2 linked regions of the Coturnix japonica genome follow. The protein of the gene in region 1 purifies or fractionates together with the protein of each later gene. This does not show direct contact. Links are inferred from orthologs where the notes say so. Each region holds a gene or a part of one and is shown on either strand. Other genes may lie near its edges. The genes, in order: NMNAT2 and FBXO45.

Evidence for each region.
Region 2: the proteins of NMNAT2 (region 1) and FBXO45 purify together in Homo sapiens (co-immunoprecipitation; 3 studies listed by BioGRID and IntAct, with this or other methods). This does not show direct contact. The link is inferred for Coturnix japonica from reciprocal best matches to the Homo sapiens genes NMNAT2 and FBXO45.

What each region holds. Positions count from the first base shown.
Region 1 is NC_029523.1:4,385,794-4,389,015, reverse strand, and holds the end of NMNAT2 (nicotinamide/nicotinic acid mononucleotide adenylyltransferase 2), read right to left. Parts: intron 2,969-3,222; coding exon 2,901-2,968; intron 2,750-2,900; coding exon 2,647-2,749; 3' UTR 701-2,646; downstream 1-700.
Region 2 is NC_029524.1:3,579,939-3,584,300, reverse strand, and holds the start of FBXO45 (F-box/SPRY domain-containing protein 1), read left to right. Parts: upstream 1-1,551; 5' UTR 1,552-1,758; coding exon 1,759-2,010; intron 2,011-2,090; coding exon 2,091-2,447; intron 2,448-4,317; coding exon 4,318-4,362. Other genes in the region: WDR53 (WD repeat-containing protein 53), read right to left, coding at 1-272, 1,008-1,487. UniProt on the Homo sapiens protein: Component of E3 ubiquitin ligase complex consisting of FBXO45, MYCBP2 and SKP1. Functions in substrate recognition but also plays an important role in assembly of the complex.

The sequences.
Region 1 (3,222 bases):
GCAACAGAAGAAGAAAAAAAAAAAACAAAAAAGGCTCCAAAACCTTTCACAAAAGTGAAATTGGTGGCATGGCAACTTCAACCCTTCCCTCCCCCCAACCCCCTTTTTTATATTCCAAAAGACGTTTGAAGTTCATTTCTCTTTCAGCAAATCCCACTGTTTAAAATCAGAGGTTCCAAGATCCACACGCACCCAGGAGCTGCCTCACACCCCAGCAGTGCTGGAAAGTCCCTTCCTCACCTCCCCACCATCTGCATGGATCTCAGAGGATGAGTTTTTCCATACCCACCCATAGATGTTTTCCAAACCAATCCCAGCGTTGACTGACCTGTAACAAACCCCCCCCCCCCCCACCCTGTCCTTGCCCCGTTCTGAGTTTTGCTGAGCAGATACATGAAGGCATAGATAGGACTAGTAAGACAATATACTCATCATCCCTATCACAACACTATGTCTCTAAGGCATGCCATCCTAACCATGATGAGATGGAAAGCCAGCTGGCTTCCTGCACATCCCATCTTGTGTACCTGAGGGAGGGAGGAGAAGGGCTTCTGAGGTTGCTCTCAGACTTGCCGACCTCTCTCCTTCTTCATCTCCTCTTTTGTTACTGTCTTTTCCTCTCTTAAAAGCCACCATCCTTCCTTCCTCTTCAGCTTCTTCACCTTTCCCAGAGGTTCCAATCCTTTTTTGTGTGTGTGTGTGTGTGTGTGTGTGTGTTGGAGGCTGGTTTCTAACACTGCTGCTTTTACTCCAGCTTGGAGCTAAGAAACATGGGTGATGACTGAGGATGTTTTCGGGGATGACCTCTGTGTTGGGGTGGAAAGGAAAAACAGGCTGAAACCCTGAACATGGAGGATAGCAGAGGCAATGGATTTAGAGGAGTCTAGCTATCAGCTTATGTAGGTTGGGTGCTCATGAATGAGATGCCCAGCTGGAACCTGTTGAAACATTAGCCTGGGGGTTCAGCAGGATGGGGGCTTATCCCTGGAGGTGTTCCTGCACACTCTGTCCGCCCTCCCTGGTCTGGGATCTCCATGCCCCCTCATCCCTCAAGGTACGTACACAACTGCCTGGAAACAGCATGGCTGGATCTGAGAGATTCAGCACATTTGCTGCTAAGACATCGCATGTGCTGACTGTGTCATTTTTGCCCAGCGTTTCTGCTGTTAGGGAGGTGACTTCTCTGGGAGGGGGCTGTGGCACAGGGGACAGCAGTGCCCAGCAGGTCACCAACCTTAATGCAAAGCCTCATCTTTGAAGTTTCCAAAGAGCAGTTTGTGACTTGGTAGATGTCTGGGAGCTATAGACACTAAGAGATATGAAGCTGGAAGGAGTAAAGGGAGGGAGAAAAGGATGGAGGAAAGCAAGACTTGTACCTTCCTCTCTGTGGCTGTCATCTTTCAAGAGGCTGAGCCAGCAGGACCAGCAGGGTCCTTGCACCCTGGGATACCCAGTAGGACAGCAGCCTGCTTAAGTAACCCTCATCTCTGCAGGACTGGAATTATTCCCTTTTGCTCCATGCTCCATGCCTTATTTTTTGGCATCTGGCTGAGCGGGTTCTACCAGGCATGTCACAAGCAGGAAAGCAGGAAACTGGCTTGTCTCAAGGGATGTGTGAAGTACCTGAAGCCAGTTTGGAAGGGCAAATACATCATGCATAAACTTCTCAAGGACAGGAAGAGGGAAGGAGAGAAAGGAAAAATGGGAATTTTACAGCCAGCATTGGAGAGCTGGAGGCTTGATGATGAGGACGGACCCAGTCCCAAACAGCTCGGCCAGGCCTGGGGCAATTCTCATCAGTGGCTCTGGGCCACCTCCTCCCCTCTTCTTCCTCCCTTGCTTCTTGTTGTTGTAAATGGCAGATCCCTTTCTAGGTGCTGTAGGCTGCCTCTTCTGACATGGGGCTGGAGTACAGCATCTATCCTTGGCTTTGGGGTGGACTGGATTCACTTGCAGACAAGAAGAAGTGAGACATTCCCCTGGTAAGTTTTGCTCTGGCAGTAGTCCTTGCCCCTTCAGAAATACCATCTTCATGACTTGTCAGGGCTAAGTGGAGGATTTTGTTGGCTGGGTTGTCCTTACTGCTGGCCTGAAGAGGTTCTGCAGGACACAGAACCACTTGCATTATGCTTGCCCACTGCCCGCCAGGATTCAATGGGAAGCAGGGCACCGTGGCAAGAGAGCTAAGGAGCTTGTACTACAGCTATTTAATTTTTTTAAAAAAAAGGAAAAAAAAAAAAAAAAGAAAAGAAAAAAATCAGCTAGATTTGTTGAGCAAAGAGGAAGCCCCTGTTCTGAGCATGCGGGGAGGATGGACTAGGAGGACCATTTCCCAGTCACATGCCAGGAGTGAGGGGTGGAGGTGCCCCTCAGTGAGCACACTGAGCACATCTCTGCCCCCCTCCTTCCCCGTATACAACAGGGAGGACAGTTCCCATAAAATAAAAAAAAATAGAGACCAAACCATTCCACGTGGGGCCGTGCTGCCGGTCCCTGGATGTTGCTGCACTACGGAGCGTCAGTGCTGAGAGTGAGAGGCCATGGGATGGGGAGAGAGATGGAGACGCAGAAAGAGAGAGAAAAGTGTGGTGGAGAGCTGTAGGGACACGGGATGACAGGGCTGTTCTGCTGCACGGCCTGTGGCACTTAGCCAGAGGCATTGATGTAGAGCTGGCTCTTGAGGATGTAGTCAATGACAGGCTGGCAGAGGTAATCCACAACGTGTCCATCCCCGTGCTGCAGGGCCAGTCTAGGGGAGAAGGGGAAGAGGAGGGTCAGAACCCATGTGGGGGTTGGTCGGCCCCTTTCCAGGAATTAGGGCTTCTTGAGCAGGGGCTGGGAACAAAGTGGTGTCCCCATGAATGGAGAGGTTGGCAGGGGGCACCCTGAGCATCACCCACCTGCTTTTGGTGGAGCTGACGACCGACATGGGGTGGTTCGAGTCGTCCTTCACCACCAGGATGTTGTTCTGCGGGTGGAAAAAGAAGAGATGAGCAAAGGGAGGGATGAAAATCAGTGTTTGCCCCACCTGTGTCTGGTTGGCCATGGAGGTCTGCTGCCTGGTGGCCACATTCGTGATCCCAGTTAGCAGCTGAGGCAAAAATAAGGGGGGAACTCTCCAGGTCCCATGTCCAGTGTGATGTTGATGGGTCTGGGGGGACACTTTGAGGCCCTCAAGACAGTTTAATCTCATGGACAGGGTGTAGCAAACGGTGACAGTGA
Region 2 (4,362 bases), on another chromosome or scaffold:
TCTGGCATGAAGAGCACCTGCGATACCCCCAGACTGTGACCTTTAAACTCCAGCTCACGTTCAAATTTGAGACCGGTGATTCGGAATATTCTGACTTTACCATCTTGAGCTCCGCAGCCAAAGACGTTGCCGCACGATGCGACAGACAGGGAATGTGCAAGTGGCGGGTTAAAGAGCTGCCCGGCTGACTGCAGACTGTCTTCCTCTGTTCCACACTCCTGCAGGTTTACGGTCCACAGGGGACGAGCCTTCTGCAGGTTCCACAGCATAACCTTGGAAAAGATCAAAGGAATCTGTCATTTACCCATTTCACTTCAAAGAACACCAGCTGTAGTTCCCCTAACACCGCCTGAACCACAGAGACCTTTGTACAAGTGACAGTTTGCATCTCGGGCTAAAACAGGAACGTGGTCAGACCTCAACCACGGGAAGGGAAGTCCTGGGGGGTGGGGGGGTGTCCGGCCCAGAGCACAGGAGCTGAGCGGAGGCCTCGTGGCAGCTGCAGCTCATAGGGAGCAGATGGGCAGCGCTGAGCTCAGCTCGGTGTGACAGCGACAGGGCCCGAGGGAACGGCATGGAGCTGTGCTGGGGAGGGGGCACCGACAGGGTGTGACACACGGGGACAAGGCAGAGAAGTGTAAAAGGCAAAGAACATTCAGCACGGAATTCTGCAGGGGGTGAGCTCAGTAACACGCTCAGAGCAGCCAGGTAGTTCTGTGTGTGCGTTCAGCACTCTGGCTGCCATCTGCTCTGCCTTGGGCACTTTGTTTTCCTCAGGCAGCTCTGCCCGCAGCCATTCACTCGGTGTAAGTGCAGGCTCCACACGGTGGGACAGCGCTGCTGCGGGCACGGCTGCTCCGCGCTGCCCCTGCATTGCCCCGTGCCGACCACATCCACGCTGCGATGAATGAAGCTCGGCACGACCCCGCGCCGCAGCTGGGCCCCACGCCCTGACCCGGGTGGAGCAGCGCGCAGCCCGGAGCCACCTGCCCCCATTACAAAGTCACCTGCATGTCCAGCCCGCACGACACGAGGCTGCGCGGCCTCTGCGGCCGGAAGGCGACGGAGGAGCAGATGTTGTGGTGCCGCAGGGAGCGGATCACTTTGTTGCCGTCCAGATCCACCACCTTGACGGCCCCGGAATCGTCCGCCGCGGCCAGGAGGGTCCCGTCGTGGCTGCTGGCCAGGCAGTCGATCTCGTCCTCGTTGAAGCGGAGCCGCTCCACGGGCTCCCGCGGCGCCCGCACGTCCAGCACCGCCACGGCCGGGCCGTGCGCGGCGTACAGGAGGTGCGGGCGGCGCGGGGAGAACGACAGCGCCGCCACGTCGTGCTCGGCGGGGTTGAGGCGCAGCAGCCCCGCGGACACGCCGTCCCGGCCCCACAGCGCCAGCTCGCCGCGCTCGGCCCCCGAGGCCACGGGCCCGTCGGTGCCGGCGGCGATGCAGAGCACGGAGCCGCAGTGCGCGCCGTGCCACCGGGCCGCCATGATGGCCGGCAGCGCGGGGACGCCGCTCTCGGGGCGGACGCCGGCTCGGCGCATGCGCGGCGGGCGGCTCGGGGCGGGCGGTGATGGCGGCGCGCGCCCCCTCGCCTTGAGGCCTCGGCCGGGCGGGCGGAGCGCTGGGCACCGACCCGCCGCTACCGGCACCGCCCGCTGACGGGAAGGGAAGAAGGGAAGGAAGGGCAGGAAGGGCCGCTCGGCTCCCGCGGCGCCGCCCCCCCACTGCCCCCCGGTCCAACCCCCTGCGCGGGGGGCGATGGCGGCGGGGCCCGGCGGCGGGGCGGCGGGGGGAGCGGGGTGGCGGCTGCCGGGCCGGGTGCTGGAGCTGGTGTTCTCGTACCTGGAGCTGCGCGAGCTGCGGAGCTGCGCGCTGGTGTGCAAGCTGTGGCACCACGTCCTGCACGGCGACGAGAACAGCGAGGTGTGGCGCAGCCTGGCCGCGCGCTGCCTGGCCGAGGAGGCGCTGCGCACCGACATCCTCTGCAACGTGCCCACATACAAGGGCAAGGTGAGCGCCAAGCCCGAACCCCCCGCGCGGCCGCGACGCCCCCCGCGGCCTGACCCCCCTGTTGGCTCCCCCCGCCTTAGGTCCGTGCCTTCCACCACGCCTTCAGCACCAACGACTGCTCCCGGAACGTGTACATCAAGAAGAACGGCTTCACTCTGCACCGCAACCCCATCGCCCAGAGCACCGACGGCGCCAGGACCAAGATCGGCTTCAGCGAGGGCCGGCACGCCTGGGAGGTGTGGTGGGAAGGGCCGCTGGGCACCGTGGCCGTCATCGGCATCGCCACGAAGCGGGCGGCCATGCAGTGCCAGGGCTACGTGGCCCTGCTGGGCAGCGACGACCAGAGCTGGGGCTGGAACCTGGTGGACAATAACTTGCTGCACAACGGGGAGGTCAACGGCAGCTTCCCGCAGTGCAACAACGCGCCCAAGTACCAGGTGAGCGGGCGGCCGGCCCTCCCTGCGCTCCCCGGTATCTTTATCTTAACAGGTATCACGGCTGTTCACACAACCCCTGTGTGGTTGGGTTGGAAGGTGCCTTACAGCAACCCTGCTCCCAATCCCTGCCGTGGGCTGGCTGCCCCCACCGGCTCAGGCTGCACAGGCCCCATCCAGCCCGGCCCTGAGCACCTCCAGGCTGCAGGAGGATGGGGCACCCACACTGCTCTGTGCATGATTCCTTTGTTTCTGCCTTCTTTCTCAAATACGTGTGGGTGTTATTAGAACACCGCATCCCCCGCTGCAACAAAAGCTGGCACTGCTCTCAGGAGCATTAAAGGGCCCAGCAGTGTCTGTTGACGGTGGGTGTTTCACCCCTGTGCTGTATGCACTGTGAGCACAGGCCGTGCTGACATAGGGCCCTCCTATGCCGTGCGCTGCTTGCTGGCTCTCTGGGCTCCTTCCCATGGGTGACATCCTTTGGCTGGGCCCTGACGTGTGGCTGATTTGGGGTTATCAAAGTACAGGTGCTGCTCCGCTGTTGTGTCTCGCAGCGAGTGTTTATCTTTGTTCTGGTTCCTGCACAGCTGCCTTTGGACTGATGGTTTTCCTCACGTTGCATCTTCAGCCGTGTTGCAGCTCAATTCCAATCTCACAGCGTCACGGTTTGGGATGAATAATGCCTTGTGCTTCAGCTGTACGTGAAGATCTTGGCATTAACTCAAGGCTGATATTTCTACATCCCATATAAAAGCTCACTGCCGAGCACTCAGCTCAGTCTGGAAATGATATCTGCCATTTTTGCTATTGAGAAGTAAATGTGGATCAAAGAGAATTGGCCCTTTCCATCCCTGCCCATTGGCAGCCCCTTCCTGCTGCCCCTGTCTGGGCCTTTCTGTGCAGCAGGATGAGGAGAGGTTTTAAAGCCAGGAGAGCTCCCATGGGGCCTGCAGGCTGAGCTGCGCTTCCTTCTTAAGAACTGGTGAGGGCTTGAATCAGCAATTTGTATTTGCTAAGATGTAGAATCACAGAGTTGTACACAGACGGTCACCTGCTCATAGGAGACACGCTGCAGGGAGACACGCACTTGTTAGCATTGGTTAGAAGCAAAATATATTGGCTGGAAGGAATCCCTGGCGCTGCGGTTGTCTGGTGGAGGAGCACAAGTTTGTGCTATCTCATGCTGCATTTGCTGCTGGTGCCTCTCCCTTCTGTTTATATTTGAAAGCAGCAAGTGCAGGATAAACATGGGGAGCATCCCATGCACCGTGCCCCAAACCTGTTGCATTTGGTGTTGGTTTTACCCACACATGTGTATCTATACTGTAGGTTTTGTGTACCCATCTTGCCAAAGATTTGCACTGAATTCTTTTTATGCCTTGCTAAGGGAGCACCGCCGTCAGCTTGTGCCATCAGAATGTGTTCTGGGGATACTCCACACCTGGCTTTTACCTTTAAAACAACTCATCTAACGTTGCTCTTTGTAGGCTCTGCTGGTCACTGCTGGCAACAGAGCCCTGGTAACTTGGGGCTATTGGAAATGTTCAGGCTCCTGCTGTGTTCTGGAGCAGAGCTCTTGCTTGTGCTGCTGCTGCAAGGTCCACTTTGATGGGCTGTGTCTGATGCTGGGAGGGTGCTTAGGCCTGGGCTGCCTGCAGGAACAGGCAGCAGATGTACGGGGTCCATACGAGAGGAATGGAGACATCTCTGTTGTGAAAGCACCGAGGAAAGCCTCGCTTTAACCTGATCTGTGTTATCCACGGATTTTGCTTTGGTTTTTGGGTTGTTTTGTTGGTGTTTCCATCTGAATATATTGACTCTTTCCTCTTTTTTTGTTTCTTCTCCCTCTTCTTCCCATCTCTGTTTCCAGATAGGCGAAAGGATTCGAGTTATCCTGGACATGGAAGACAAAACG